Schizosaccharomyces pombe: one gene and its partners. The gene in region 3 interacts genetically with the main gene of each other region. Each region holds a gene or a part of one and is shown on either strand. Other genes may lie near its edges. The genes, in order: suc22, pxd1, cdt2 and rad1.

What was found.
Region 1: of cdt2 (region 3) and suc22, extra expression of one rescues a mutant of the other (dosage rescue), as found in Schizosaccharomyces pombe (one study listed by BioGRID).
Region 2: of cdt2 (region 3) and pxd1, changing one suppresses a phenotype caused by changing the other (phenotypic suppression), as found in Schizosaccharomyces pombe (one study listed by BioGRID).
Region 4: mutations in cdt2 (region 3) and rad1 are lethal when combined (synthetic lethality), as found in Schizosaccharomyces pombe (2 studies listed by BioGRID, with this or other methods).

The regions. Positions count from the first base shown.
Region 1 is NC_003423.3:3,717,336-3,725,267, reverse strand, and holds suc22 (ribonucleotide reductase small subunit Suc22), read right to left. Parts: upstream 3,646-7,932; 5' UTR 3,514-3,645; coding exon 2,338-3,513; 3' UTR 2,196-2,337; downstream 1-2,195. Other genes in the region: trm1 (mitochondrial tRNA (guanine-N2-)-methyltransferase Trm1.1), read right to left, coding at 239-1,885; MCM complex subunit Mcm7, read left to right, coding at 5,348-7,630. UniProt on the Schizosaccharomyces pombe protein: Provides the precursors necessary for DNA synthesis. Catalyzes the biosynthesis of deoxyribonucleotides from the corresponding ribonucleotides.
Region 2 is NC_003421.2:1,282,738-1,290,589, reverse strand, and holds pxd1 (protein Pdx1), read right to left. Parts: upstream 4,425-7,852; 5' UTR 4,241-4,424; coding exon 3,185-4,240; 3' UTR 3,059-3,184; downstream 1-3,058. Other genes in the region: trp1322 (TRP-like ion channel protein), read right to left, coding at 1-2,453; rpm1 (3' ssRNA-specific 3'-to-5' exonuclease), read right to left, coding at 4,555-7,428.
Region 3 is NC_003424.3:2,033,268-2,041,270, forward strand, and holds cdt2 (WD repeat protein Cdt2), read right to left. Parts: upstream 2,438-8,003; 5' UTR 2,384-2,437; coding exon 911-2,383; 3' UTR 689-910; downstream 1-688. Other genes in the region: SPOM_SPAC17H9.18C (uncharacterized protein), read right to left, coding at 371-688; mitotic cohesin complex non-SMC subunit Psc3, read left to right, coding at 3,136-3,400, 3,446-3,558, 3,597-3,692, 3,741-4,150, 4,201-5,800, 5,849-6,253; SPOM_SPAC607.02C (uncharacterized protein), read right to left, coding at 6,348-6,618, 6,665-7,033, 7,082-7,137; U3 snoRNP-associated protein Snu13, read right to left, coding at 7,669-8,003. UniProt on the Schizosaccharomyces pombe protein: Substrate-specific adapter of a DCX (DDB1-CUL4-X-box) E3 ubiquitin-protein ligase complex required for DNA replication during mitosis and meiosis.
Region 4 is NC_003424.3:4,975,697-4,983,553, forward strand, and holds rad1 (checkpoint clamp complex protein Rad1), read left to right. Parts: upstream 1-2,881; 5' UTR 2,882-2,922; coding exon 2,923-3,058; exon of another isoform or gene 3,059-3,184; coding exon 3,185-3,425; exon of another isoform or gene 3,426-3,468; coding exon 3,469-4,063; 3' UTR 4,064-4,442; downstream 4,443-7,857. Other genes in the region: SPOM_SPAC1952.06C (uncharacterized protein), read right to left, coding at 50-1,744; SPOM_SPAC1952.08C (pyridoxamine 5'-phosphate oxidase), read right to left, coding at 4,443-4,790, 4,866-5,090; ach1 (acetyl-CoA hydrolase), read right to left, coding at 5,638-7,203. UniProt on the Schizosaccharomyces pombe protein: Recombinational reparation of DNA damages induced by UV and gamma radiation.

The DNA of each region.
Region 1 (7,932 bases), on a different chromosome or scaffold from region 3:
ATAATTATGTAAAAAAGAAGAATACGGTTAAACAATAAATCATTTTAACATTGCTAATTGTGTTGCGGATACTATTAGTTTAAACAAGTATTTAGTATGGAATACACAAACTAAATCTTTTTTGTACTAGCCTGTTTATAATTTGCATAAACCTTCCGAAATAACATAAAGAATGAAATTGTATGTACTATCCAAAAACCTAAAATACAAGGAGTATTTAAACTGTGCTCCACTTTACCTAAGATTTTGAGTCAACTTCAGCGATAGTTCTTTTACCAGGTTTACTTTTTGGGCCCCAATTTTCAGTTGGGTTCATTTGATATCGAGTATAACCTTCTTTTTTGGATGCAAACTCGGAATCGGGCCTGAATGTAAAATCAACCTCAGCTGTGGGAGTTTTTTCCAAAATCGCTGCTCCAGCAGATGTTTTACTAATATTTTCAAGCTTCACTGGATGATCTTTAATCCAAGAGCGCAAAACATCCCAAACGAAGGACCAGGGAGCATTTGTTTTAATTGCATTACTCTTGGCATGAGAACCAGAAACCCGATATCCAGCGTTTAACAAAGCTGAAACAAATATATTTTGAGGAGGAGATTGGGAGCGCAAGACGCTACAAATTTGGGATAAAACAAAATAAAATGGAACATCTGGTAGTTCTTCATCAGCCAAAGCGAGCATACCTAAGATTCTTCGTTTAGTGCCATAGACTTCAGGGTCTAAATCTTCTGCAATGGCGCGCATTTTTTTGAGAAATTCTGCATCATGTAGGGGTCCACCCCATAAAGGGCCTCCAACATGATGCACATATCCACAATGTTCACAGTTAGCAGATACAGGAGGCCCCGAAGCATTAGAGAATTTGGTGGTTCCAGGTAGTCTTCCCGGAGAAGTTTTTCCAAGTGGTTGCTCGGCAAAGCTACCGCAGCCTGAACAATGGTATATCAATAGCGATTGACTTTGTAAATTTTTTACGAGAACAGGCTTTGCTTTAATTTGAACAAATACGCGAAAGTAAAAATCAATACTTAGGGAAAGTAGCGGCTTGATAGCGCGACCATATTTTGCAGCAGAAGCTGCAATAGCATAAAGCAAATGACGAACAGCCTGCTCATGACAAAAATTAGAGCGCAAAGAGGACCCACCATAATTAGAAAAGCATTTCTCTGGATATGCATTACCGGCTAGAACAGCTGAATCAGTACATGTGATGCATAGAAGACCGTCCTTTGAAACGGATTGTACAGCAGCATCCAGAAACGGGGCAGCAGATCCATAAGGATCAAGGTCAATCACATCGTAATGAAATTTGTTCATATGCATAACAGCATTAGCGTCTCCTTTATTAGGAATTACTATATCGCTCACATTATTGTAATTAACATTCTTCTCGATGGTTTTCACAGCATTTTCTAATAAATCATTTGCAAGTATCCTTTTGACATTTGGCAACTCCTTAGCATACCGAATGGAACGCAATCCAGTAGCGGAAAGTGCTTCTAAAATGGTAAATCCAGCAATATTATCAGCTGAAGTAGAATCTGTCTTTTCCGAACAGTTTTTTTCAAAATCATGAGTTGTATCACATTTAGTAAGATTTTCTTGGCTAAGTTCGGAGTTTTGATCGAGAAGCTGATGCCGGTGATGAGATTTTGCAACAATTTTTTTGGATCTAGTTTCCGACCAAGCACGAATAGCTGTAACGCTTAAATCTCTATTAAATTGTTGTACGGGGTTATAAAAGACTTCATTCGGATTTGAAAATGGTATAATTGCACTACCCTCGGTCAAACTTGCAGAAGCCCCCGACATCATGGCGGTTGAGAAGTGATTCACAGCATTTGAGATCCTTTGACTTAATCTTAGCATATTGGCTTCATACATTTAATACGAATTAAAGAAAAATAATCGTTAAAAAAAAAGAAAGTATTGATTATTTTTGAGAGTAAATTTGCAGTAATTCATTAAAAAAATACGAGATGTGATAAGTCAACCATAAATCGAATTACAAAGTATTGTATAATACATGTAATCTTGTAGGTTTAGGTAATTGACAATAAGGATAATAAGTAAATGGTCTTTTAGTCTATGACTGGAAAATAACTTTTCTTAGACGTAGTAAATTAATGAAAAAGAGAAAAGAACTTGAATAGAAATACTTCAGAAATTAGAACTTCGTCATTACATTCACTGAAGTAGCCATTTAGATTTGTAAAGTATAGAGTAACGAAAATCTAATTAAACATATTAATTTATTATTGCTAAATAGGTTATCAGTAATCAATAATATTTTTTTTTTGCTTTAACTTATCTAAAAACCAAAAATAACTAGTCATCTAAAAGTCCTCATCGATTGTAAATGTATGATCATCCTTCTCAGCGCGCTTGGTACCCGACATAACGCCAGCAATTTGGTAGTCAGAAACTTTCTTTTCAAAGAAATTTGTTTTTCCTGCTAAAGAGATATTCTCCATGAAATCGAAAGGATTGGTTACGTTATAGTACTTGTCATTGCCCAAAGCAACCAACAAACGATCAGCAACAAATTCAATATACTGACACATCAAATCCTTATTCATACCAAGCAGACTAACGGGAAGAGCGTCCGTGAAGTATTCTTTCTCAATATCAACAGCTTCAACAATAATGGCTTCAACAACCTTGCGGCCTGGTCTGTGCTTCAAATGACTAAACATCAAACAGGCAAAGTCGGTGTGAAGACCCTCATCACGACAAATCAATTCATTGGAAAAAGTAAGACCAGGCATAAGTCCACGTTTCTTAAGCCAAAAAATAGAGGCAAACGATCCAGAAAAGAAGATACCTTCTACAGCAGCAAAGGCAACCAAACGAATTGCATAGGTGGAATCTTCATCATTAATCCAACGAAGAGCCCACTTGGCTTTGGCCTTAATAGAACCCATTGTTAAAATAGCATCGAAATGACGCTGTTTTTCCTTAGGTTCACGAATGTATGTATCAAGCAAAAGTGAGTAGGTCTCAGAGTGAATATTTTCAATCATAATTTGGAAACCATAAACACAACGAGCTTCAGGGATCTGAACTTCAGAGCTGAAACGCTCGAGAAGATTCTCATTAACAATACCATCTGACGCAGCGAAATAGGCGAGTACAGTGGAAATAAAGTAACGTTCATCAGCATTTAACTTGTTATCCCAATCAACCAAGTCTTTCGAAAGATCAATTTCCTCAGCAGTCCAAAAAGATGCTTCAGCCTTCTTGTAGAATTGCCAAATTTCGTGATACTTAATTGGAAACAAAACAAAGCGGTGAGGATTAGGGCGAAGCACAACTTCATCAAGCTCATCTTCCTTTTTGCCCAAGTAGTAGTCGCCTCCTTCCTGTTTCTCTTCTTCACTTACATTATCAAAGTTAAAGGTTTCTTTAATAGATTTAACATAAATTTTACGAACACCTTGTTCGCTATCATACTCGACTTCTTCACCATGTTCCTTAGGATAACTGAATTCTTCGAGATGCTCAAGGCCCATTTTGTAAGATTAATAATGAGATTTCGTCCAAACTGACCGGATTTATCTGTATATAGAATAAGTACAAAAGTTTTCTTCCACCGCGATTATCTCTTGCGATGTGGCTTCCCAAGATGTGTTGTGGTTAATGGCAAAACTTTCAAAGGTAGGTTATCCAATGTAGTGCACAGTATTGTAGTATATTCAACACCACCGTTTTTTTTGTGGATGTTAATTTGTCGCACTTTGGGTATGATAACACAATGAATAAGAGTGAAGGCAAAATAGACAAAATGCTGCCTTATTTTACAGAGTGGAAAATTGCAGTTAAACTAAGTCAAAGGCTGATGGAGATGAATAACGTTGAAAAAAAACAATGTACTAATTAATATTTGGAGACAAACGCAACGAGTAAAAAAAATGAAATAAATTCGAAGACAATCTCAAATTAAATGGGAAAAGCAAGGGCTTACTTCCTTTCCCTTCTGGTGTGTTATAATAACGGTTTCTTAAAGCAGGAAATTGTAGCTAGTTAATAGAAAAATGTGATAGCTTAAATCGAAGAATTCGATGCTAAGCGTGGAGTCGAATAAATTCAATTATTTAGGCTCAAATAATTGAAAAAATAGAAATGAATTTATTACTTTATGTAATAAATAAATTATTAAATTTCTCACTTTTTGTTATAATTTAATAAAGTAGTTTTCAGTGTAATACTTAAGACGCGTCAGGGTACCTCAATTTATGTTGTAGATGAAACGCAATGATATCAGCCTAGTAGTACGATATGATGTTAGAAATAAATATCTCTTCACAATCTCCTTTTCATCCGAGATGTAGAGCGCTTTATAACTGCTCAAATATTACAAATCACGAAACTTCTAATGCGACGCGACCGTACATAAAGACATTGCTTAATTAAAAAAAGATAAGCGCGACAGAGACCTAGCCACATACTGTGAATAATTTTAATACCTTGATCCTTTCGTAAAAAAAAAAAGAAATACTTATATTCGTCTATTGTAAACAGAAAATAAATAAGCATTCCAATAGCACGTTTCTATTGCGTGTTGTGCTTTTAGGTACAGTTTACAATGTGGTATAAAACAATAAAGAATTTTCTATATTCATTCTTCACTGATGTTTGAAATAACCGAACAAAAAATAAAAAGTTCCCTACTCGAAGTTTTTATATTGTTGATATCGCATTTCTTTTGAGAATTTCCCTGCTAACTTACTTCATAAGTTTTCAAAAAAATTTTTAAAAATAAAAGTGAAATAAATTTTAGGCAGTAGTCTAAATAACTCTCATGTTTAGAAATACAAAACGTGTAGAAGAAAAATAGGAAAAATTATGGATAGCTAAAATAACAATCGATTGAAGCAATGAAAACAATTAGACATACATTTATGAAAATAAAATGACCAATTTATTGTCTGGCAAAATGATTATTATTAATTTAAAACAAATAAACTGTTTATTTATACATAGTGAATACTCTCCAAAAAAAATTTCTAACAGTACTACATAGTGGCTTTTAAAATCAAACTGAATGTTTACTTTTGCTGCGAGAGTAATAAATTAAAAAGGAAATATGTAGAGAATCAAAAAAATTATACACTGCAATTTCTTTAGAGTCAATGACAATTTGTATATGCCCTAAGTTACAATATTTACATTTTTGTTACCTTACGAGTTCGCGTTGATTCATACTACCAACTAACTAAAACAACCTAAAGAAGAACCTTTCTTGGTATCTTACCCTTACTTAATACCCTTGCTTTCTTTTTGAACCTTTATATTTTTTGCTAATTCAGCAGAAAAGTTTTGGGATACTTTTTTGGTTTGAAAAGCATGGCACTTCCCACCATAGATTTAAAAATCCCAGAGTATGAAGAATGTCAACATAAAATTACGGATTTTCTATCCCACTTCAAGCAGGAACAGGTTCAAGATGGACAACAAAATCAGGATATTTCGATGTCGGATGCAGGTGATGAGCCTTTTTTAAAATCAAAGTATATGGATATACTACAAAAAATCTCCAATCGAGAGTCAAATGTTATTAATGTTGATTTGAATGATTTGTACGAGTTCGATCCAAGTGATACTCAGCTTTTGCATAATATTGAATCTAATGCTAAACGGTTTGTTGAACTTTTTTCGCAGTGCGCAGATGCGTTGATGCCTCCTCCTACTGTGGAAATTAATTATCGCAACGAAGTACTTGATGTAATTATGCAGCAACGTGTTCAAAGGAATGAAAATATAGACCCTGAGCATAAAGGATTTCCTCCTGAATTAACCCGAGGTTATGACTTATACTTTCGACCAGTAACTCGCAACAAAAAACCATTCAGCGTTCGTGATTTAAGAGGCGAAAACTTGGGATCTCTTTTGACTGTCCGTGGTATAGTTACTCGTACAAGTGATGTTAAGCCTAGCTTAACTGTAAATGCTTATACATGTGATCGATGTGGGTATGAAGTGTTTCAAGAAATCCGTCAGAAGACATTCCTTCCAATGTCTGAATGTCCTTCGGATGAATGTAAAAAGAATGATGCAAAAGGTCAGCTTTTCATGAGCACAAGAGCCAGTAAATTTCTTCCTTTTCAGGAAGTAAAAATACAAGAATTAACGAACCAAGTACCTATTGGCCATATCCCTAGATCATTAACCGTCCACTTATATGGTGCTATCACTCGCTCTGTAAATCCTGGCGATATCGTTGATATTTCTGGTATATTTTTGCCGACTCCGTATACTGGTTTTCGAGCAATGCGCGCCGGGCTCTTAACCGATACTTACTTAGAATGCCATTATGTTTCACAAATCATTAAAAATTACACAAATATTGAAAAAACTCCTCAATCGGAGGCTGCTATCGCTGAATTAAATCAAGGAGGCAATGTGTACGAAAAACTGGCCAAGTCCATTGCTCCCGAGATATATGGACATGAAGATGTTAAAAAAGCTTTACTTCTGTTGCTTGTCGGAGGTGTTACTAAAGAGTTAGGGGATGGAATGAGAATTCGTGGTGACATAAATATTTGTTTAACTGGTGATCCTGGTGTCGCAAAATCTCAATTATTAAAGTATATTTCGAAGGTTGCCCCGAGAGGAGTATACACCACAGGTCGTGGATCTTCAGGTGTTGGTTTAACTGCTGCTGTAATGCGTGATCCAGTGACGGATGAAATGGTTTTAGAGGGAGGTGCCTTAGTACTTGCTGACAACGGTATTTGCTGCATTGACGAATTTGATAAGATGGATGAAAGTGACCGTACAGCAATTCATGAAGTAATGGAACAGCAAACTATTTCAATTTCAAAGGCAGGAATCACTACGACTTTAAATGCTCGAACAAGTATTTTGGCCGCTGCGAACCCCTTATATGGACGATATAATCCGAAAGTGGCACCAATCCACAATATAAATCTTCCAGCTGCACTGCTTTCCCGGTTTGATATTTTATTTTTAATTTTAGATACTCCTTCTCGTGAAACAGACGAGCATTTGGCACAACACGTAACATATGTTCACATGCATAACGAACAACCTAAAATGGACTTTGAACCATTAGATCCAAACATGATTAGGCATTATATTTCTTCTGCTAGACAATATCGCCCAGTCGTACCAAAGGATGTATGCGACTATGTTACTGGTGCTTATGTTCAACTTCGACAAAACCAAAAGCGTGATGAAGCCAATGAGCGTCAATTCGCTCACACTACTCCACGTACACTTCTCGCTATTTTGCGAATGGGACAAGCATTAGCTCGTTTGCGTTTCAGTAATAGAGTGGAGATTGGCGATGTTGATGAAGCTTTGAGATTAATGTCTGTTTCAAAGTCATCACTATACGATGATTTGGATCCTAGTTCTCACGATACTACTATTACCTCGAAAATATATAAAATTATTCGAGACATGCTTAATAGCATACCAGATGTTGAAGGCAATGAACGCTCACTTACACTACGTGCTATTCGTGAACGCGTACTTGCTAAGGGTTTTACTGAAGATCATTTAATAAATACAATACAGGAATATACAGACCTTGGTGTTCTTTTAACTACAAACAATGGTCAAACAATAATGTTCCTCGATCCGGATTTACATATGGAGAATTAACAATTTACTAATAGATAACTCCTATCATTTAATTTTTCTGCCAATTAATTGCTTTAAGCTAATTTACAACCTATAGAAATTATTCTGAGACGTCAAACTACTTTTCTGTTGAATATTCTTTAATTCTGACTAATACATCTGTCGTTCTTTTAATCTATGATAGTTTATTTACTTGTATTCAAATGTTAATTCACGCAATTGAAAGGAAGATATATTAAGCCAATATGTTTCGTTAGATTTGGAAGGACCATAAAACCTTAAGATACGTGTCAATATGCTCGAGTCGTAGGAATGAGTAATGA
Region 2 (7,852 bases), on a different chromosome or scaffold from region 3:
GAACGTAAAACGACGAAACCTTTTTCAGATTCTTTCGGGGGGTCTGAGTGCCATATGGACTTAGCTGTTGATTGGACAATTTGCCACGCCCGTTGAAATGCATTTTTCGGAGGAGGTGGAATAGCAGTGGGCCTCATTTCAAATGGTTGCGAAGAGATTTGCGATAGACTGTCAATACTTGTGTCTACGTGTGGATGATAGACATCGGCCTCACGAACCGCGTAATTAACATCATGGCGTAGTAAATTAGGCTTGTTGTTTAAAAAGTCTAATTGTAAAGCACGTAGTTGATCCATGTCCCGTTTACGAACAGATGACTTTGGTTTAGGTGGACGGTAAAATGAATATCCTTGTGATGTGCTGTATGGAGAACTGGGAGTAACAGGAGAATCCAACATTAGACTACTTGAAGATGCTGTATTGTTCTTAGAAGGGACAAGACTCGACGCTTGCGTAACTGGAGGAATACAGTTAGTCTGAACGAATAATTTTGGCGGAGCAGCCTCGCCATCCTTCTTAAGGGAATTAGAACAAACGGAGACTGGCGTAAGTGGCACTGACATTTCATTTGAGTTGTAGGTAGAATGATCAAACATCATTGTGTTGCCATTGGAATATGGATCCTTAAGACGCCGGCGTCTCAATTCATTAATACCAAATACCCTGGCCCAACCAAATGGTCGATCGAGTGGGACACCTTTACTCTCACTTTTAGCACCTAATAACCGTGCACTGACTTCCATAAATCGTTGAGTTGACAGAAGTAAGAAAAGGATACAAACCATTATGTGAATAAACAAAATTGCATAGGCCAGTAAATCTCTACTAATGCCAAGAACCTTTAATCGAGGATCTAAGGGAATCATTAGAATAACCGTGATCAAGCGCATGGTAGAGATGAAGGTGTTTAACGTATTCATACTCGTCTGCGGGAAATGTGGTCGCACATAAGCATACGCCACGACATTAGCAACTTCAAGTATAAAGAATATGGCTAATTGTGCAGAGCCGGAACTTCCTATGACACCAACCGTAATACCACGCATAAATTGTACGGCAATTGGAAAGATCCAAAACATAACTCTCTCTTCTCGAAACGAATTGTATATAGAGCCAAATAAATGCAAATATGTTTGATCTTCAAGAAGTTTGGACGATGGTTCAACAAAAGCGAGATTCATATATAAATACACCGGAATAAAGATTCCAAAAAAGATAAACCACAAAACGGGGATAATTTCATAACCTGTGGGCGGTGCGACAAACTGGAATGACATATAAGCGACGGTAGGGAAATATGTCAAGAAGTAAAGACGTATCAGAGAACCAGCAATGAAGCTCCAAGTATCCCACCGAGTTTCGGCAATAGTTTCATTGAAAATTCTAGACATAAGCCATTTCAAAAAAATAACCAACAATGCTACAAATAACGCAGCAAATAAGTAAATAACCATGACTATAAGAAACGGAAGCCAGCATGCAGTACCTATTCCTATAGAATCGAGAAACGAATACATGCCATATGACTTAGGCAAATAATCCGCATAACTAGAGGATGCTACAGACAAGTCGGCAAAGTCTGCAAATTGATATTCAGCAGGCTCGGAGAAAATGGGAAATCGAAATAGAGCAGTGCCCCAAGAAAGAGCAGCCATAATATTTATGTAAAATTTTGGAAACATAACACTAACCTGAGCTGTAGAAACAGCAAATTGCAAGTATTGCACAAAATCAAAAAATCCAAGGGATGTTAAACGAAGAGCATCAGGGTCCATATTAAAATTAAAAATCGACTTAAATGGATCTAAACTGCCGGTCCATGGATTTAAAAAAAGAGCATAAATAATGGAAAACGAGACATATGCGAGCGACACAACAACCAAATATGAAATAACTGGATAAAAATAATACAAAGTTGTGGACAAACCAAACTTCATACAAGTTATTACATTTTTCTCGGGAGTACCGTCAACAACGATTACTCGCGTTGTTAATGTAGTCAATTCGTATTTTGAGTAATCGGACAAGGTGGATTTAAAGGGAACTTTAACCATGAAAGCGGCACTTCCAGCTGCCCAAGGACATTTTATGGGGACTTCAAAAGAATGAGGATCCATAACAACATCACAAAGCTTTGTGGTATTGGATGTGACCAGTTTTCCTAACGCATAAGTTTCCGAATAAACTGAAGCAGCGTGAATATGTGAGCCATTTCCACCCACAATCGTTATAACTCCGGATAAATTCCCCACTACTTGAATGTAGTACATCCGATTCACTTCATCAAAATTCTTGATAACTGCATATGGGCTAAAGGTAGGAATACCTGCTCTCGGTACAAAGTTTGAACAAGTCTCAAAATAATCCAAACTTGGGGATCCATTCACTGCTGAAAGAAGGCTGTAAAAAACGATATGAAGAAAGAGGAAAACAGAGTACGGGCGAGGCTTCATTATTATCCAAACACAAACATTCTAATAAATTTTAATATAAATAGATCCAACCTTGAATTCTTTTGATTCTCTATGAAACGAAATTTGAAAAAGACTTTAACTGCTCAGGGTTGGTAATTTGAGCAATTACAAATGCAGTTATTTAGAAAGAAAAGAAGGTTTCAAAAAATGAATGCTTTGTAAGATATAAGTAGGCCAGAGACGCGAAACACATAAATTGCTATTTCTCGTGTGTGTAGTTAATGACAAACACATGCTCTCGCGTTCCTTGTCCTAGTATTAGATAATAAAGATTAACTACGCAGCACGTTAGTGAAATTTTATGAAAAATTTCCGGCTCGTTAAATAAATAACATAATAATATACTATTTCGTTATTTTCCAAAGACAAATCTGCTCAAGAAAAGGTCCTAACATTAGCGCTTTATATGCATATATTATAAACCATACAGCGCTATTGAGATATAAAAAAAAACAAATAAGACAAGAAGAACTCAGTAACGTTCTCAAAGACGTTTAAAACTCGAGTCATAAAGTCCCTTCTGCTTTGGTCCTTCAAAATTAAGACAAGCTATCTACTCGTTATTTTTAGTTCTAACTTATCACATAAATATATACATTTAAAATTATTGAAATAATATTCTTGACTTGTTAGATATATAACGTACATTAAATCATCATTACGGGACCAGCTCGCCAAAAGTTTGCTATACTTAGTCTAACATAAATATTTCACTTTTCAAAATTTACGTTTCTTTCCTGAAGCCACGAGTGCAGAGTGTCCAAAGATACATAAACACCGTGCTTTAAAAGTATTTCGAGAAGGTCGTTTGAGGAAATACGTAGGGCATTTGAATTTTTCCATAAATAATGATACAACTTTTTTCCACCAGGGCTTCGAAAGAACGTTGAAATATTAGAAGAACACATTACTTGAGGAACCAGGAGATTATCAGCAACTTTCTTTTCATCGTGTTCGCAATTAACTATCGGATCGGACTCAAGGGTGGTAAAAGACTCTTCTCCAGAATCAGAGGTTGGAAATACCGACATACCAAAACAAGAACCAGCTTGTTCAATATCATAGCGATTATCATCATCGATACGGGTGCATACTCCTCTCAACATGTTTAACTCCCCACTTATCGAAGGTACTTGTTGGGACAATAAGTCACCCTCATTTCCAATTAGGTAATAGACATTAGTTCTAAATGATGATATCCATAAGTAAGGCGTAATTTGACAACCGATATTGCTGTGGTGGAACCCAGGTTCGACATTCATGAGTTCATCAGACAGAGGAAACTTTGGCTTATGCCTTTTAGCAATAGAAATAGCAATTTCTGGATGAACAACTTTGGACTTAAATTGTCTCTTACTAACACGAACTCTAGAATCTTCTGAAACAGAAGCCGTCATAAGTAACGGCTTTTTCTTGGGAATGGTATGGCCAAAGCTTAATGGGGTCAAGCTTTCTGAATGCAATTGATCAACGGAATTATTTTTTTCTTCAAAATATTTGGTAACTCTTGATGTAATACTGTTATAAGAAACCTTCGATTTAGAAGAACGAATGTGTGGTTTCTCAACTTTAGTAAAGTCATGAATATTAGCATTATCCTTTTTCAGGAAAGAATGCAGCGTTTTCTGTCGCGGTGCTGCATGGACTTTCATCTGGTATCGAAACCGCTGAACCTTCTCTGCAAAACTTTGCGCAGCATCATTTTCTTCAACATTAACGTCGTTTAAATTTAAAGAGGGTGCTGTTTCACCTTTAGATTCAATCATTTTTCTTAACTTAGATTTTAAACAACGCAGCACACTTCGTCGATGGATTTATAAGCATCCAAAGACATTTGCTTCTTGTCTTACAAAAAATAGAAAAAGAAAATATATTTTAATCACAAGAGTCAAGGTTAACAAAGAGACTTCATAGTAAAACTACCTGTTGGTTTTTGAGATGAGTTTTGGCGAAACAGGTTACTATCAAATCCCAAAACATAATTTATTTATATCGTTAAGTCTCGGTAAATTGATAAAATGCAGGATTGAGTATTTAATTAAGTAAAATTATATCCATAAAAATAGTTTTAATAAGTTTGTTAGGTCGCTAAAGCAACTAATAGGATATTAGACTCCGGAAAGACATCCTTAATTGTAAATGCCTGGCGAGTATTTGCTAACCGGAATGCTTCGTCCGGGAGAATATCAATATGCGCTTTAACACCCAATTCTTCCAACATGACCTGAGGTGTTGAAAGTTCTGAAACCATTAAATATCCATGATAAATATTTTTTTGTACCTTTGGAAGTCTCTCTATATATTTTAAGGCCCAGAAACGATTAATGTATCTTCCTATAGTTTTAATTGATTTTTCTTTTTGGTTGTACAAATTTAGTTTTCCACGAAGAATACCATCAGGTATAGTATTTTTTGGAGTCTTTAATAATACCGACTGAATCTGATGATGAGTGAAGAAGTCGGTAAACCGGCGTAAAGGAGAGGTAGACTGAATATAGCCATCCTTTAGCCCCAAAGAAAAGTGGGAAACAGGTGTGGAGGCTAAATGTGAACTTTCAAATAAAGGCATTACAGAAAGTGAATACTTAGTTTCAACGAGTCCCCAAGATGACCTGTTACTTAACAAAGTTTCAAACGCTTTTCTTCGTACACCATCCATAATTGGATAAGGCTGGCCCCTAAAAATCCCAGGTAATTTATGTTCTTGAAAAAATAATGATGAAACCCGGCCAGCCAATATCATGCACTCTGATATTACTGATTCTGCCAAGCTATACCCTTCACTAACGTTCAAACTAATTGTAGGGAAGGAAGACCAGTATACTGGATGATTCAGATCACCAAGATTATAAGGGACATTATTAGGCAGCAATTCAACTGTCGGAGTGGGTTGTGCAATAACAAACGCAAACTTTTGTAACCTAGAAAAACAGGCTTGTTTCGAAAGTTCATATATTCTTAATATATCTTTCATGTGATCATTTGATACTCCTTTTGTTTCCTCATCCACTGGTCCAGAAACGATGTCTTTCGCAATTGATCGATTACTATGCAAAGCTTTATCCAGTTGTTGGGGTGTGTATTTGATAACTGAGGAAATGAAGCTAGGCCGAACCTTGTAATCAAGTATATCGCCATTTTTTGAAATTTTAGCACTAAAAGTTAATGCTCTTTGAGCTGTAGAAGATGAATCTAAACTCCAATATTTCTGAGTGATATTGAGAGGTAGCATATACACAATTTTGTTGGGATGATAAATAGTTTGAAAGTTCCTTTCAGCAAACGTGCCTAAAGGACTGCGAATGTCAACTGTACTCGTAGGATTAGCAACATGGATATGAAGCCAGGAATTAGACATCCCTAATTCTTCAACCGAAATCGCATCATCTATCTCTTTCGTAGAAGAACTATCAAAGGCGAACGCTTTAAGATGCCTTAAATCGACGCGTTGCGATTCAAGTGAATCTTTTAATTCATTTTTTACAAACTTTTTAAAGTGATTACACTCACGTTCATACACAGCATCTAACTGAGGATTAGTACCAAGGCCAGCAATGCTGTATTCCTGTTGAAACAACCTCGGGGGCTGCCATGAAGCCCACACGCCAATATCCGTTAAGAATTTAGCAAACTGATCACTAGTTAATCCCCTCTCGTGAGTTTGAAGGCCAACTTCTTTGTAAACCTGACACAAGTGTGTATTTGGTAAACTTTGAATACTTTTTGCAATCATTTCCTGAACAAGATACCGCAATAGTTTTTTTTCAAATTCAGTCCAAGTGACCTGTGAATAAACTACGGGTTTTATTTCTTCGGTGCTTATAGGTAACTTATATTTATCTCGGGAAACTTGAATTAAATGACGAGCTTTCTTTATAAACGAAAGATATGGTGTTGATTTCTGACGCAGGCATGCAACAACGTCGTCAAAAGAATCATTTTGTGAAGAGGGAAGGAAATAGACTTTTTGAATTTCGGAAAATATGTGATCGCTTATTAAAAAATGTTTGCTTTCTGTAAGCAAAAAGTGTAACAATGAGATTTTAGCATATGGGCTAGGCTTCGAAGTTTTGTACACAAATTTCAAAAGGTCTGAAAAAGAAGCTGAATTGTCAAGTTTATTTGGAATATTGAATTCTGTCAATATTCGCAAAAATTCATTTCGGTGACTTCGACTTAAATCTTGTGCTCTTTGAGAGATTTTTTTTAATAACTTTATAGTGAAAGGTAGGACATCAGAAGGAACAGAAACATCAGAAAGAGGTTGCTGCACCTCTTTCAGCTTTTTAAAGACATTAGGACATCTCAGTAAAACTCTAGATGTACGAAATTCCTTAATAGTACCGTTTTCGTTAATGCTGGTCAATACATTACTATAGTTCCAAACATTAGTACCAGTGCATGCAGCAAGTTCAATGCCTTCGGAGCCCCTATAAAACACTAGCAAATCTCCACGATCGTACTGTCTAAAATTCTCACTGCTGAAATCTTCTAAATCAAAAGAATACTCAAAATCATTTTCCAACTTCTCTTCCTCAGATTTTGTAGTAGTAGGACAAACAGCAGCGCGTTTGTCCTTCTCGAACTTGTCTTTCAACCACTGTCTAATGTTTCCATGATTTTCTAATTCAGAGAAAAATTTTTTAAGGTTTTCCTCATTCACGGATTTCAAATTAGCATTTTTAAATCGATCAATAAGATCTGATTGAGTATGCTTCAAACGCGCACCACAATGTCCCCAAAGATGATGATCGTTTGCTGGTTGTTTCCCGAAATTTATTAGGCATCCAGTTATGCGGAAATATTTCAAAACTTTTGAACTGGAAGGGCAAGCATGATGAAATTTCCTTGTAAGTTTACAAGGAGACAATTTTAAAGACAGGCATACACGTTTTAATAAATAATTAGACTCTAAATTAACATTTTGAAGAAGAAACAATTGCCTATAGTTCATGGGCAAAAACCCTATAATTAGTAACACCAAAAATAGTGTTGATGGTAAATTCGACTAGAGAGCTGAACCAGAGCACTTTTAGGTACTAGCAAGTATTAAGGTAACAAGCTCTGCAAATGTAAATGAAGAGTGGTTTAATAACTAATGTAACAGAAGAAAGATTTCAATATGAGTATGGAGTTTTTTGATTTTTTTTTTTTTGAATTGAATGGTCGAGGGGATGGGCGACTTCAAAGTGAAATACATGAAATCACAACCTCAAGGTAAAACTAATTGAAAAATTATATCATTAAAAGAAGGCTGCTTTCCATCAATTACATTTACTTTTAATTATTGAAGCTTCTGGTCTACGCCTAAGCAATTTACTAATAGTGGTATTGGAAAAGAGAGAAAATTAAGAGTCGCCGACGATTTCAAAAATAGT
Region 3 (8,003 bases):
AAGTGCGTTAATATGATAAAAGTGTTATTACCTTTGTTAAAAATACGTTAATCGTGGTGTTTAAATGAACAGAGTCGAGTATATTAGTAACGTCAATGAGCATTTTTAGGAACAAGGCTCGTGGCATGTCTTAGTTTTATAAATTTAATATACCATAATCCATAAAAATTAAAATGTTCGAGGCCAATTGAAGTGCACCAAAATCATTTCGACAACTTATGATCTGTAGTTTGCGTTTATTTTAATTGTTACAACAAATTGCCAAATAAAGTGTATAAGTATAAAATGAGTAAAATAAAAGCTGAAATAGCTAGCCACATCTATTTTGTATAGAATTAGTTATTATTGTTTGCAACTTCGTAAAATATCCTTAGACCATAATTATAAAAAATGAACGTATAGGGCTAAATTGTATATTATGAGAAATAAGAAGTTCTAGTAAATAGTTGCTTGCTAGTAATAATTTAGCGCTAGCGCTGATTAAATAATGGATTTCTTTTAAGTGTTGAATAATCATTATTAGTATATAAAAAACTATTAAACTGAACGTTTGTTTAGGAATAGGAGTTCGATTAACGGTGAGGAAAAAACATCTAATTTGGATTGCATATATTGACTGGTATTTTGATTGCTTCCAAAAAAAAAAATAATTGTCAACAAAAAAAAATTGCAAACTAATTTTATGCATTAAGCTTTGGTAAACAGAAAAAGCTTATAAAGCATCCAGCGGAAGCAAAAAAATGACAAATCAAAGGATTAAATAGATATGGAAAAAGAAAGAATCCTAATAATATTCAAATGCATTAGGGAATAGTCGTTATTTTTGACAAAATATTATGAAGCCTCACTTATAGTCTTCTTTTCAAGAGAAACAAGCCGAATATTGAGACATTGCTATGCGTGATAATTTTCATTTTTCACTAAATCCCCAATAAAAAATCTCCGAAAAATTCTTTTCTCTAAGGTTAGCCGCACTTCCATGCAGAGAAGAATTCCATACGCGAACGCTCCCATCGTCTGAAATACTTGCCAATTGACCTTCACTAGACCAATCAACTGCAGTAACATCCTTAGTATGACCACCTGTGAGCATAGCAGACGATGAACAGTTTCTTGTTGTGTCAAAAACAACAACACCACTAGTCTTGTCTTGAACGCCTCCACCGCAGGCTAAAGTTGCTCCGTCAGGACTGCACGCCAACTTTACGTAGAATGAAGAAATTCTGAGTCTAGGGTCTTTGTAAGTCTTGCAAAATCCGGAGTTTAAGTGACGAGATGAATATTCATAAATGATACTATCTCTGGAAGCAGCATAAATACGCTCACCGTCAGGAGAAGTACAAACATTAGTAACACCAAAATCGCGTTTTGAAGTAGTTAATTCGGGAGTAGTAGCAGCAGGTAAAGGTCGGACGGTATGTACAGTTCGTAAATCCCATAACTTTAAGGCCGAGTTTGCAGAGCAGGACGATATAACTTGCGAAGTAGATTGAGGGAGCCACGTAGCTGAGGTAATTGAGCAATCCCTTCCCGAATTTTCATGTGCTTTTCTTATCCTTAACACTGGTTTCTGAAAATGCTCACCGTCAATTGTTATCCCGTGTGTTCGCATATCCCAAAAGATAATGGAACCATCCCGAGAACAACTTACCAAATTATAAGGAGAATCATTGCAAAAATTAACCTGCTTTACTGAATGAGAGTGGTATCCATCGACACCTCGTCGTCCCAATCGAGTGATGCATTGTTGCGTTGACAAATCAAATACCTTTGATGTTTGATCGCCAGATGAAGTAGCTAATAATGAATCATCTTTAGAGAAATTAACACTAAATATAGCATTGTTGTGAGCAAGCCAGCCATGGATTCTTCGAGCAGACGGCTGATTTTCCTCATTCTGTCTATCGTAAAATCGAGAATCAAACAGCTCAAGAGCTCCAGTCTCAGTACATACGGCCAATAAAGACTCGTTATTAGCAAATCCAAGACAGAACGGGAGTTGGTTCAGCATCATTAAGCATTCCGAAGGTCGTGAGTAATATGTTTCGAGATTGAGTCTACCTCCCACATGACGAGAAGTTTTTGTGCTAAAAGGGTGCGACCGGGAACCTCCCAGTTGTCTGATTAAAAGTTCTTTACAAAGTTGAGCAGGTTTTTTTTGAATATGAACTGGCTTGTGTAACAGGGGTTTCTTTTCAAACACAATGCGTTTTCGAGGTGTTTCAATTTTTCCTCGGCTTTCTAGGAAGTCGTAAAGCTTATGTTTTTTGGAAGGTGCTGCGGGAGAAGAATCAGGAGTCGGAGGTAATGAGTTATTTGCACGTGAGGTAATATCTCGAAGCCCACCAACATCACTCAAAGCTTTTCCAATGTCCATATTCATGGTATAATCATGAATCTTAATTTAATCCGCTTTTGAGGTCGTGTGTTCCAGTTTAATTTAAGTAGTGGATGGTAGCGTGAGTATATTAGATTTTCGTGACGCGTGAACGCGACGCGTCCGTGATCCATCACATGCACCAAACGTTACCCAGAATATGTTAAAGTAACAAAACGCGTATTTCAAAGTCATGTTTAAGCATATTTGCAATTACAGATGGGTACAGCCTAAAATTCTTGAGGAATAAATAAAAAGGATAAAAGTTTTCTAATTACTTGTTAATTTTTCATAAAGGATGACTTTCGTATTTCTGCCTATGATATAATGAGCGCTCGAAAAGTTGTCAAATATCTCATTTATTAATAATAATCGAAAATATTACGCGTCAAAAGAATCTTTCACTCACAATTCTATACTTGTATAGTCAAATTACAATCTCAACTCGCGGAGTGAATATAAGTTAGCTGTTCACCTTGCAGGACCCAAAAGAAAATAGTATATATTTGTTTCAATCAAGGTAAAGAAAATTTTAATGTAATAACTTCGTTAAGTATAAATTTCCTTTCGTATCCTTGGATTTTCAAACACATTTATCCTGTCTAACACTATTGAACAAGACAAGTTCGTGCTTTTATCAACTACAGGTTGTGAACAACCTCCATTGTACAACACCAATAGTGCATTCATTACACTCTTTCCAATATTTCTAATTACACCTCTTAATTTATTTATAAATTATTTCTTTTTTTCTTCAAATGAGTGAGTCTGTTACTACTGGATCTGATGATGATGGAGGAGACAGAGAATCTTCCCCTGTAATGCTTTCTCAAAGTTTTGATCCCATGAGCAGTAGTTCAAATTCATCTTCTGAAGAAAATAGCGATGATGATTACGAGAAAACGATAAGCTCAAAAAAACGGCATCCACGGCCAAATTCTAAAGGAGTAAATGTAAAACGCTCTAGGAGGAACGCTATAGTTGAAGAGGATCCTCAAGAAGAAATTTTTAACAACTTATTTGGTAATGATAAAGTCCTTCTTTTTTTCAGCTACTAACACTGAAAAGCTTTTCTGCTTGACCAAAAAGTTGATACCATGGACATCGCGGTTTCGTGGTTTGCTGACTATGCAAAAGATAATCAATCTGCCCTTGCAAATCTTATTAACTTTATTTTAAAGGTAGAGTCATTCTTTTCTTTCTTTACTAAATATTTTAGTGCTGTGGTTGCAATCGTGCCATTAATGTGTTTGATGTTCAGGATCAAGATTCTGCTTCAGCTACTCTATCTCAAATTCAACTTTCTGTAGAGCGTGTAAGTGCTTTTGCGAAAATACTTTATTTGTATATTAACAACTTTAAGACTTCTACTCGTGATTATCCTTTAAATTCAAAAAATCTTAAGTTTAGGAATTTCAGAAAGAGATTGACCGGTCTTTTAAGCAACTTTGTGTCACAGTTGTCAATAAGAAATTACTTGTACAATAGCACTGTTTTTGAAGATATTATGTCTTGGGTCGTTGCCATGTCTTCTTCTACGATGAGACCTATTCGGCACACCGCCACTGTTTTCTGTTTGAATATTATGACTTTTTTATGTGAAAAATCTAAAGAACTATTGAACGAGCATGCAATTGCTACCAAACAGCTCGAGAAAGAAGAAAAGCGCTCTCGTGTAAATAGAAATCGCATCAACGAACTTAATAACAGTCTTGGTGAAATAGTCAAGCAACAAGATACATTGACTACATACTTAAATGACTACTTTGATAGGTAAAGATCCCTCAAACGCTTTAATTTATTTATACTAACCTTTATATTAGTGTCTTCGTCCATCGATATCGAGACGTGGAGCCTAAAATAAGGGTAGATTGCTTACAAGAGCTTGGGGTCTGGATTAATACTGTTCCAAGCATATTTTTTTCAGGAAGTTATTTAAGATACCTAGGATGGATGCTTTCAGACATAAACACTACCGTCAGATTAACTGTAGTTAAAGTTTTGCGCAAATTTTTTGAGACAGATTCATTTATTGGTGGATTAAGACATTTTTCTTCTAGATTTAAAGAAAGAATACTCGAGATGAGTTGTGTGGACGCCGATATTGGAGTTCGTGTAGCCAGCATTCGTTTGTGTAACGCTATGAGGACTTGCGGATTTTTAGAAAATTCTGAAATTTTAAAAGTGCTGAAGCTAATTTTAGATATCAATCCAAGGGTGCAACGTGAAGCCGTACTGTTTTTATGCAAAGTGGTTGACGAAAGTGTGAATGAAAAAATTGATTTATGGGGTGAAGAAGACTATATTCTAAAGGCCTTTTCTCAGACTTCACTTACTACATTTTCAGTTCATTGGATAAAATTTTCCCAAATGTGTAAACTTTTGGAGGAGGTTAGATTGTCTTACCAATCGAGCTTTGATTATGATACATTATTACGAATCTTCCAAAAAAATGGTAATTTCATTACTCCTATAACACAAGCTTTACTTAATGCATGTGAAATTGATTCAATCTATCAGTCATGGGAGGATATTAGCAACTTCGTACTTTTTGATAATTATACCTCGACTCTAAAAGATCCGATAGACAGTATACTTTCTTTCTGCAAGCTAAATGATTTTCAGGAATCTATTCTTTTACAGCTTCTCTCTGCTTCAATCCAAACTGTCTGTAATAACAATTTTATCACACCTAAAACGGTGCATAATAAGCAAGCGGCGGAAACGACCAACGATCAAAATAAAGATAAGGACTTACTTTATTTGAATCTTCTTCCTTACATTAATTCAATAACTGAGAGAAATTCTGCTTCACCAACACTTCTTCATGATTCTCTTCGTTTGTTATTCTCAATGGATTTGACAGAAATGACAGACCCTCAACTTTCCAGACATTTTGAACTTCTAATTAATAATTTAAAAAAATTTTTCCTAACCAATAATGATCTTCAAATTATTCAAGGTTGCACGATATTATTTTTACGGTTGGACTCTATTCCTGCTTTGAAAGAAGATTTGAAGCTTCTGGTTACTGACATTTGCGACCAGACGGTAACCGAATTTTTAAAGAATTTTGGATCTTTTAATATTCAAGATGCTGTAATAACAAAAGATGAATTTGTTATTTTTGAAGCTTGTTTAACAAGAATCGAGGGATGTACCTCTCTCAAAGATTTTTCTGACTATCCTGAGTTTGACATAATATATGAAAGGCTTGTTTCGCTTCTTTCGCGGGTTCCTAATAGCTATGAAGATACATTGAAGTTTTCTGCAATTAATACTTTACAGAGTCTATTGTTTTGGTTCTTTCTAAGGAAGGATAACCCTGCTGATGAGGAAAAAAAGAAGGATGATGAGACTAAAGTTTTTAATTGTTTGATTAATATTATGAATAATGACAGCTCTAAAATTTTGCAACTTCAGGTATACAAAATCAACTTATTATTTGATTTAAGAAACTAACTTGACCAGGCAGCCCGAACTTTTCTGGAAACAGTGATAATGAAAGAAGGTGTTAAAGCATCACATTACAACGATGACAATCGTGTATCTGAGGAGCATAACTTTTTAAAACCTCAATTTTTAGATGCTCTTTTAAAAATACTTGAGGGATGGTTATACACATATGCCAAAGTTGGTCAATTCCCCTTCAAGCGTTTGACTCAAGCAAGTTCTCCACATACACAAATTTCTTTGGACAAAAATCCACTTAATAGAAGGCTATTGGAACATGTATGTTGCGATTTGACTAGTAAATTATTAATAGTTGTTTCATTGTCAAATACGATAACACCAGAATTTTCACAACAGTTTTGTGAACTAAGAGGGCACTATGGACCGAAATTATCTGCTATTGTGGATGAGTTTTTGAATTAATTAAATTTAGATTTAATGCCTGCTGTATATTTAAAGTAATTAATTATTTTTAAGTCAGCATTAGAAATAAATTCTTTTTTCATTATTAAAAAGATTATTTCCGCTTGGTTTTCATTAATTCTCTATATTTCTCTATAAGTTCCAAACGCTGCTTTCCTAGAGCTTGGCGTCGTGCCATAGATTCTGTTTGACCCATATTATTAACTTTGGGAACATTTTCCAAGTACTTTGTCTCTTTAATTTTTAATTCCGGAAGTTCAGGAGGAGCTTGCACAGTTTCTCCAAAGGAAGGTTTTGTTTGTAAATTAGCCCACGGATCAGGCGAATTTTTTCGTTTTTTTCTAGACTCAATTTGGATAAATTGTCTAATATGTTAGTTTATACGAAATGAAATTGGTGATATACACATACCCAGTAGTATCCGCCTCCCATGTTTTATCTTCAAAATTTTCCTCAATTTCATTCCAGTCTCTTTCACGCTTCTCTTTTCTTTTCGCTATTTTTTTCTTTTCTTTTTTATCAGTAAATTCGTCTATTTTGCTCGGCCCAGACTTAAAAGATACTGGAATAGCCTTATTTACGCGCTGACTAAATTCACTAAGGCGTTCACCGGGTAATCTTTGAATTTTCCCATAATCTTTTTTTTTCTTATTTTTAAGGTTGCCTTTCTTTATTTCCTTCTTTTTAGATTCATGGTACTCTTTTTGCTGTAGCAATCGCTTGAATTGCTTTGGGAAGTTGTCATCTACACTTTCATCCTCCTTGGGAGCATGATCGAGTCTATTAACCAAATGTTAGTAAAAACATCTTGCTATAGAAATTTTTTACCCAATCTTTTTCCGTTCAGCCTCAAGAACGGACCTTTTCTTAGTCTTAGTAGGCATATTGCGCTTGGATAGTAAACACAAACGAGAAGCAAGTAATAAAGGAAAATAGCGAGCCTAGCTCGTATCGCAATTTAGATAAATTTGGATTTGTTTTAATAGATACTCATGGGATAACAGTAAAGTTTATTAATGAATACAAATATCTTTTTTTATTTTAGTGGACAAGCTGTAACGCTTTAGAGAGAAAAAATTTCAGAATCAAGTTGGAAGCAAGCTTAGTGAAGATACTTTTCGAATCATACACGAAAAATATATTAAAAAATATATATATCAAACACCAAATATACACTATCTTTATTAAAATCGTAATGCTCTTATATGTAAACACTCAACTATCTTTCTTGTTGAGTATTTTGCGAGCTAATTAATAAAAATTAAAATGACTACAAACAGAGTACTTGAAATTATATAGAAAGCGAAACAGTACAAAATTACAATAACAAAATAAAAAATTCGATAACAATCTGCTTCCATAAGAATCAAATTTTATTCTCGATTAAAAGAAAACTGTTCCCAAAATCCAAAAGTTTAGATGAGCAATTTCTCTATTGCCAATTTAATAGCTTGAATTTGAGGAAGTAAATCACTAGCCTCATTGGTAGTAATGCTGGCTGAAATCACCGGTCTACTTACACCACAAGCACGTCCCAAAGCAGCCTTGCTAGGAACAAAAACATAAGGCACATTCTTGTCCTCACAAAGCAATGGCAGATGCAATAAAATCTCTATGGGCTCGGTATCAGCCGCCATTACTATAAATTCACTAATACCACGGTTCAAGGTTTTGGTAGCCTCATTTGCACCTTTGCGAAGCTGCTTGTAATGAGAGGCCTGTTGTACCAAGTCGAGAATTTGTTGGGTTA
Region 4 (7,857 bases), 2.9 Mb from region 3:
TACAACTCATTAAATTGAAAATATGTTATCAGAACAAGTCATGATTTTATTACACAGATGCTTGCATAGATCCAAGTAAAACAGTAACCATAGGTTTTTCGTCAATTCTGTAGTAAGAGTCGTTGGCCTCCACCTCTTCGGACTCCACCGTCGGTTCTTCAAGGTTTTCATGATAATTTTTTAGAGCATCAGTCAACTCATCAATTGGAATGGATGCTTCGGAAAACAGCATCTTAATTTTTTTCAATGTCACTGTATTTTCAACGCATAACCACGAAAGGATAAGAACTGTAGATTGGAAAGGAAACAGTCCATGATCAATTTGTTGGAGAAACCATTTGGTACTCTTTTCCTCCGAATCAGGACTAAAATCAAGTTTTCTGCTTTGGTCAATACCTTTGAGTTGGATTCTCAAGCGATCGTAAATTTTGAAAAGGCGTTTCATTTTTTCAAAGTCATTTTCAATGAATTTCCGTAAAAAGCGCACCCTTTCTACGGTGTCAGCAGGTAAAGATCGAAATAAAGATGCCAGAATAGCTAATATATGTTCCAGAGTATCGGCTGCAGATATTTTCATAAACGCAGCAAAAATATATTTCAAACCGCCTGCTTCTACAAATCGAATACAATAAGGAGTGGAAAGAGGCCCAAATAAAAGATAGTCCAAAACTTTGATTGTAGAATAACGGCTTTTTCCTTTATGTTTCATATTTAGTATGCATAATTCAATACCTTCCTCTTTTAGAAAAAGGGATTTTCCTTTCGTTTCTTGAACCAGACTACATAAGCAATCAAACACGTTTTCCATCATTTCTTCTTCTGATCCTTGGGTTGGATCACGAAGCCTATAAGGACTGATCCGGCGCAACAAAAGATCAATCCCATTCAAGTTGCACACTTTCAATTTAGCTTCTTTTGAATTAGCGAGAATGATAGCTAAAATTTCAACAGCGTACTGCAAATTAGTTGATATAGAAGTTTCATCAACAGACGATCTACTCAGTAACCATTCTACCAATGTTGTGTTTTCAACTATTATTGAACAAATGCTATTGTCCACAGATAATAAATTCTCCATAAGAGAGAGCACACAATATACTCCATGTCGGTCTTCCTCATTAGATTCGTCAAACCTTTTGATTGTATTTGAAAGCAAAGGAAGCAAACCAGAATCTATAAGGGAAGTAAATAAGGAGTTTAATGCGTCTGGGTCAACATCCTCGTCAGTCAGTTCTATCAATAGCTCCAATACCGTAATAGTAATATCCGCATTTTCATGGTTCATTAATTCTAAAAACGTGGAAACACAATCTAATTTAAGGAAAATGGGTATGAGGATAGGATACTCTGAAAGCACATTGAAGCTTCGAATTTCCAGATCAAGATCTGCCTCTGATTCTATAAACCTTTGAGGAGAAGTAGAATACTTGATGCGTAACTCCTGATTATTATTAATTGTTTTTTCAAGTCGTACTACCATGCGCTTCAATTCAGTAGGAGTCAATGAAGCAGGTTCTTCCTGGGCTTCCTGTTCGTCTAAAAAGTCTAAAACGGTTTTTTCACTCTTTTTAAGCCCACTTCCAAAAAATCTACCTCCTTCCTCGTCAAATTCTTCATTCTCCTCATCGCTATTCTCTTCAGCGAGTCTTCTGCGACTACTAGCTGGCTCCAAAGAGTCTGCTTCCTCAGGGTTCCTTTTCTTATTTGTTTCCTCGGTATTTTTAAAAATTGAATCTACATCCATTTAGAATAATGTATTTTTTATGCGCCAGTTTCCTTTTCAAATTGAATATATGAAAACCGTCTGATACAAAATAAATAATTTTGACAAACTTATATTTTATAGCCGCATCAAGTAAAATAAAAGCCTTATGAAAAGACTATCGTGCAATTCAATTATAACGCCTGACTCGTTCCTAAAATTCCTCTCGTTTACCAGTTCAAGTAAAAGCTAGGTAAGATGTAGGCATGTACAAAGTGTATCAAAAGTGAAAACCAGAATCTAAGCTTGGAAAAAAATAATAACAGCAAGTAAATTCCCCTCTGTTTTATAAATATTATACAACTCTTATATCCAAGAAAGGAGAGATTGGAAGAAGGATAAAAAGTGTTTATTTAAGAGAAGAGAAGCTAAATAAAGTGCATGCAGTTAACTCGAAATTTTTTAGGTTGATTAAATAAGGAAGAAATTAGATCCATCTTGTATTACCTTTCTTTTAATTGTAGCAATGACTTTTCAAAAGAGGGTGTAAAAATGACATCCTAACTGTATATATGATAAAATTACAATTATGGATTTTCTAAAGCAATTTAAATTTAGCTATTATCACTAAAACAGTTCGGCAATTTGCAATATTTGTCTAATAAATGAACCATTTGTTTCATAAACAATCAAATTCATTAAGCTACAAATCCTTAATTGTATCTTTAGTTTTGAGTCAATCAACTTACTGGGATCCTATAGCTTTTTTGAATATCATTTGGTAAATTCAAATATGGCTCTTAAAACTTGTATTTAATTTGATAAAATTTCTGTGTCGAGAGATAAATAAATAAAGACAGTTAGAAGTAGATGCTATTCAATTAATAAATAAAATACTCGTCTATTAAGCTTTACGGCTTTCCAAAAATTTATATATCAGAATAAAATATTTCACAATTTTTTTTTTTTTAAAAAAGAAAAAGCAATCTCAATTTTCATTTCCTTTAGTAATCTGCATACCTTTTAAAATTGTGCACCTTTTCGAATTTTACTAAATAACTTCTAACTTGAACTGTCTTTCTTATTCTGCGTTTGGTCTTGTAATCAAGTGTCAAGTCCTTTAATATCAGAAGGAAAAATTATCAATTTATAAGATTAGCATTTACGGGTGTTCAAGTTGTAGCATATAACCAATTTTTTATTGTTGGACGTAAATTCGCATGTTTCAAGCAGAAACAGTATGCTTAAAGCAGATTCAGTCAACATTACGATGCATTGATTTTTCAAAGGAATGTACTATCGAAATCACAAGTCGTGGACTACGGTTTGCAGTGGAGGAATCGCAGTCTTTGCAGGGTAAGACAAGTCGAGTCTCACATCTATGATCGTTAAAAAATTTGAAGCTACTTAATAAAGTTTCATATATTAATGCGATTCTTGAAATGCATTCACTTTTTCTTTATTGTTCACTCACACATTAAGCTCACGCCTTTCTTGATAAGTCGTTGTTTCAAACGTTTAATTTTCAGGGTGATTCAGATGGGGATACATATATGTTCCAGACGATGATTTCACCTCTTTTACAATCATTATCAATTTATACAGATGGAAAAGAACGGATTTCAACTAGTGCCTGGGATCAACCCACTGTAAACATAATGCACAAACGAGGCGTTATCTGCAAAGTACAGTATAATGGACCCGGCTGTCCATTTATATGGGAGTAAGGATTTTATCATTAACATTCTGTACTGACAAAAATAAAGAGTAGAGGAAATGGCTGGTTATGCTACGGCTTGTGAACTGTTGACTATGGAATGTGAGGACGACGTTGACATCAATAGACTTGCAAGCACATTGTGCACGAAGATCATTATGAAAAGTAACTGGCTATATGATGCCTTGGTGGAATTAGACAATAACATGGGCGAAAATTTAATTATTCATACATCATCCCAAAAATCAACCTTCTTATTGAGATGTGTAGGGGCATTATCCACTACGGAAATAGAATATCCAAACGAGAAAAGTGTTTTAGAGTCTTTTGAAACTGATTCTGAAAACACTTATTCCTACCGCTTCTCATTAATAAGACATGCGCTGAAAGCATTACAAGTGGGTTCTAAAGTAAACCTACGTATTGATGAAAATGGAACTTTGAGCATTCAAATCATGCTTGTCGGTCAAGAAGGGCTTTGTACGTTTGTAGACTTTTGTATTGTTCCTTTGGACCTTGTAAGTGAAGATGAGGAGGAGGATGAAGAAGAAGAACCAGCAGAATCTAATCAGTCGGACAATAACGTTTTACGAAACGATCCGAATTATCGAGGAGATGCGGAGACCGAGGATGAGGATAGCTAAATGATAATTTTAGCACTCAGCACTTTAGTGTTTCCGATAACTTCAAAAAAAGAAAAAGGTACAATTGATACTGAACAACTTATGATAATACACTTATTCAACGAATCATGATTTATTTCCCTGCTTTTTGTTTGGTCTTATTTAGGTAGCTTAAAGTCACACCGTTTCCTCACTTTTTCTATGCTTATTTAACACACGTATAAACAAGACGCTTTCCACTAGGCTGTCTAGCAAAGCATGTAGCCAACAAAATTCCCATGTATCATACACACGATTATACATTATGGTTAGATCTACGAAGCATTCAAAAATTCTTCAAACATTATTGATTTTTAAAAAATAGAAAATGCAAAGTGACACTCATAAAACATTTGTTTACTCAAAATGGAGTCTCATCTCCTCTTGCATTCCATTTTTGGACGTTGTTGAGTCTCTGATCACAAATTCTCGCACTTTCCAACTTTATCTTGATAATTCTCATATCCTCACCCTCCACGTATTGTTTCGTATTACCCTTGTCATTAGTGTTTAAATGCTTTTCTCTAAAGAATTCCTCTTCTTTGCTATTCTTTGGAAGAACGGTAGCAAGGCCATTCAAGGTCACTGATGTATTCGAGAACTGAGCCTGATTCATTTTATAAAGTAAGGTGTACAATGAGGAGGCATCAGGATCTGTTTCTTGACGATTAGTGGTCCAGTCATGAACTAGTAATGATACTCGAGGATTCTAGTCATCATGTTAGAAAAAAGAAAATACCAATCAGGATCAAGGATAAGTTAAACTTTTAAATATGATACATACCGAACTGATGTTAAAATATTTTTTACTGTTTTCTCCTGTTGACAAAATAATGCAATCCTCCACTTCGTAAGGGGCAGCGCTTCCTGCAGGTAAATAGGTAAATGTCATCAAAGAAGAGTGAGGCTGATCATGAAAGCAAGTAGCTAGTTGAATATATTTGGATGAGGACAAGCATCTCTTGATTTGGCTGGGGAACTCATGAGATGAATCGACTTTTGAGGCCATATTTACTTTCAGGTTATTGTGGTGCGACAAAGATTATAATTTGCAGAATAAATACTGGTGAATGGAAACTATTGATCCAGACAAAACTGTACGATAATTTCTATACTTGATTATCCTTTCCTAAATTTTGGTGGTACTCCTCTCTGAGTAAGCAGGTTTGATACTAGGTTAATAGCAGAAATGCTGACTCACAACTCAACGTAATATAGAGGTATGTACTAAACAGCCAACTTACGAATTTTGCAGGGGAACTAAAGATTAATAATCTTCAAAGGAATACTGCTCATAAAATAAACGCGCTCATTTCTGTGTATCTTGGAAAATTCATACGCATTATGATTGTTGGATTTACTTACTCAAAACTAATTTCCTTAACTTATAAACACTAATTTTAGTATACGGATTTTTTTTATTTCGTAAATTAAATTAATGTAAAAATGAAATACATTAAGTCATAACAGCACGAAGAAGCTGTATTTTAGTCGTAACAAGGTTTTGGAAAACCCTTAGAAAGAGTAAAAGTGGCTATAACAACTGATAACTAAATTTACCAATGATCGATCTTCATCGTTCCTTTTTCTAAAAGGTTGAGCTGCATCTTGAAAGCATTGGCAAGAATATGGGGTTCATGACCAGCTCCTCTAGCTAAACAGTAGTTTTCGGCAATATCGAAATACTCTCTGAGCAGAGGCTTATAGTCAGGATGAGCACACTTGTCAATAACCTCACGAGCACGTTCGGTAGGAGACAAGCCTCGTAAATCAGCCAATCCTTGCTCTGTAACCAAAATATCCAAATCATGTTCGGTTTGGTCAACATGGGTAGCCATAGGAACAATACAAGTGATACCAGTAGGATCCTTCTTCGAAGGACGAACCGATGGTGTATGCATAATACTTAATTTCGCATTACGCAAGAAATCAGCAGAACCACCTAAACCGTTCAACATTCTGCTTCCCAAAACATTTGTACTATTGGCATGAGCGTAAATATCGGCTTCCACAGGAGTATTCATAGCGATGCAACCAAGACGGCGGATAATTTCAGGGTGATTGGAAATTACTTGAGGGCGTAACAAAATTCTTTCCTTGTAGTAATCATAGTTTGAGTAGAATTTTTCAAATCCCTGAGGAGAAAAACGGGTTGAGGTAGCAGTAGCAAAACGTAACTTTTCAGAGTCAAAGAGAGGCAAGAAAGTATCTTGTAAGACTTCTGTCCACACTTCGAGATCTTTAAAGGGAGAATGGGCAAGACCACCGATAATAGCGTTGGCAATGTTTCCAATACCGGATTGCAAAGGATGAAGATTTTTGGGAAGACGCCCTACAGATACTTCATGATGGAAAAAGTCAACTAAATGGCCTGCAATAGCCTGCGAAGTCTCATCTTGCGGAGAGTTAGCGCATGTGATGTCTCCATAATCAGCCTCCACTATTCCAATAACCTTTTTGGGATCCACTTTGATGTATGGCTTTCCAATACGATCGTCAACTCGATTGATGTTTATTGGAGTACGATGTGGGGGGTTGGGAATTTCGACAATGTCATGAAGTCCTTCAAAAGAAGGAATGGCAGTGTTCACCTCGATGATAATCTTTTCCGCAAGTTGCATAAGTTCCGGACTCGCACCAACTGATGCGCCGGGAACAATTCCGCCGTCCTCGGTAATGGCTGTGGCCTCAATAATGGCTGTGTCAATTGTATTACTTTCACGATTACGAGTATAGTAGCCATAAAGTAAATCTTGGGGAAACATGGATAAATGCTTGTCGAAAAACTGAATTCTGCCAGAGTTAATTCCTTTAGAAATTGGCTTTCCTACTTGATGAGGACACCGGCGCTCAATCATATTCAATTCAGCCCACTTGCATTCCGTATCAGCACCTCCCGAGGCACCAACGAACAATTTAAAACGCAATTTTCCTTGCAAATTGTTCTCTTCGACATGTCTTGCTAACGCGTTTGGAATCATTTTAGGATAACCGACACCAGTAAAACCAGACCAACCAACATAGTCCCCATTTTTAAAGTACGGAACCAACTTGGCAGGATCCGTAACAATTTTTTTGGCAAATTCGGCATTGCGAATGCGTGAACTCAGAAGAGACGGCATTGTATCAACAAAAAGAAGAGAAGAGGAAGGAAATATTAAAACGTTGAACTAGTAAAAGTCAAATTCAAAAGCGATAAAACAAGAAAAAAAAGAAAAGAAAAAGAAATCTTTCAATGAAGAATCTGGGCGACAGATAAATAATCAGAATATGCTCAAAAACGCTTTTTTGGGCTTAAAAGATAATTTTAATTTGTTGAATGTACACTCTTTTTTACTTTTAAATAAGAAAATGAATCAACCAAAAGTGGTTGTTCTTGTGACAAATATGTAACTGCTCAGTAACAGATTTACAAACCCAAGGATCACAGATATCGGTAAGATATGGAATGATGATTGCAAAAAAAAAGCCGGAATGATGAATGTATGCGCGACTTGATTTTAGCAAAGTAGACCAAAATTGTGACGAAAAAAAGAGACAGAATTTGCGAAATAGGAAAAGGGTAAAAGGTTGACCGGGTGAAAATCTTCAATAATAAAAGGGCGTAAACTTTGTTTAAACAATGTGTTTCGAAAAAAAGTGTTGTTTGCTTATTTGTTTTCCGGGGAAGGAAGGTGTTTTTTTATGGTGATTTAGTCACAGAAACGGAAGAATATGAATGAGAGTAAATATAATGAAAATCCCAAGTAGAGTAGCGTTTTGCCCTATTAAATGAC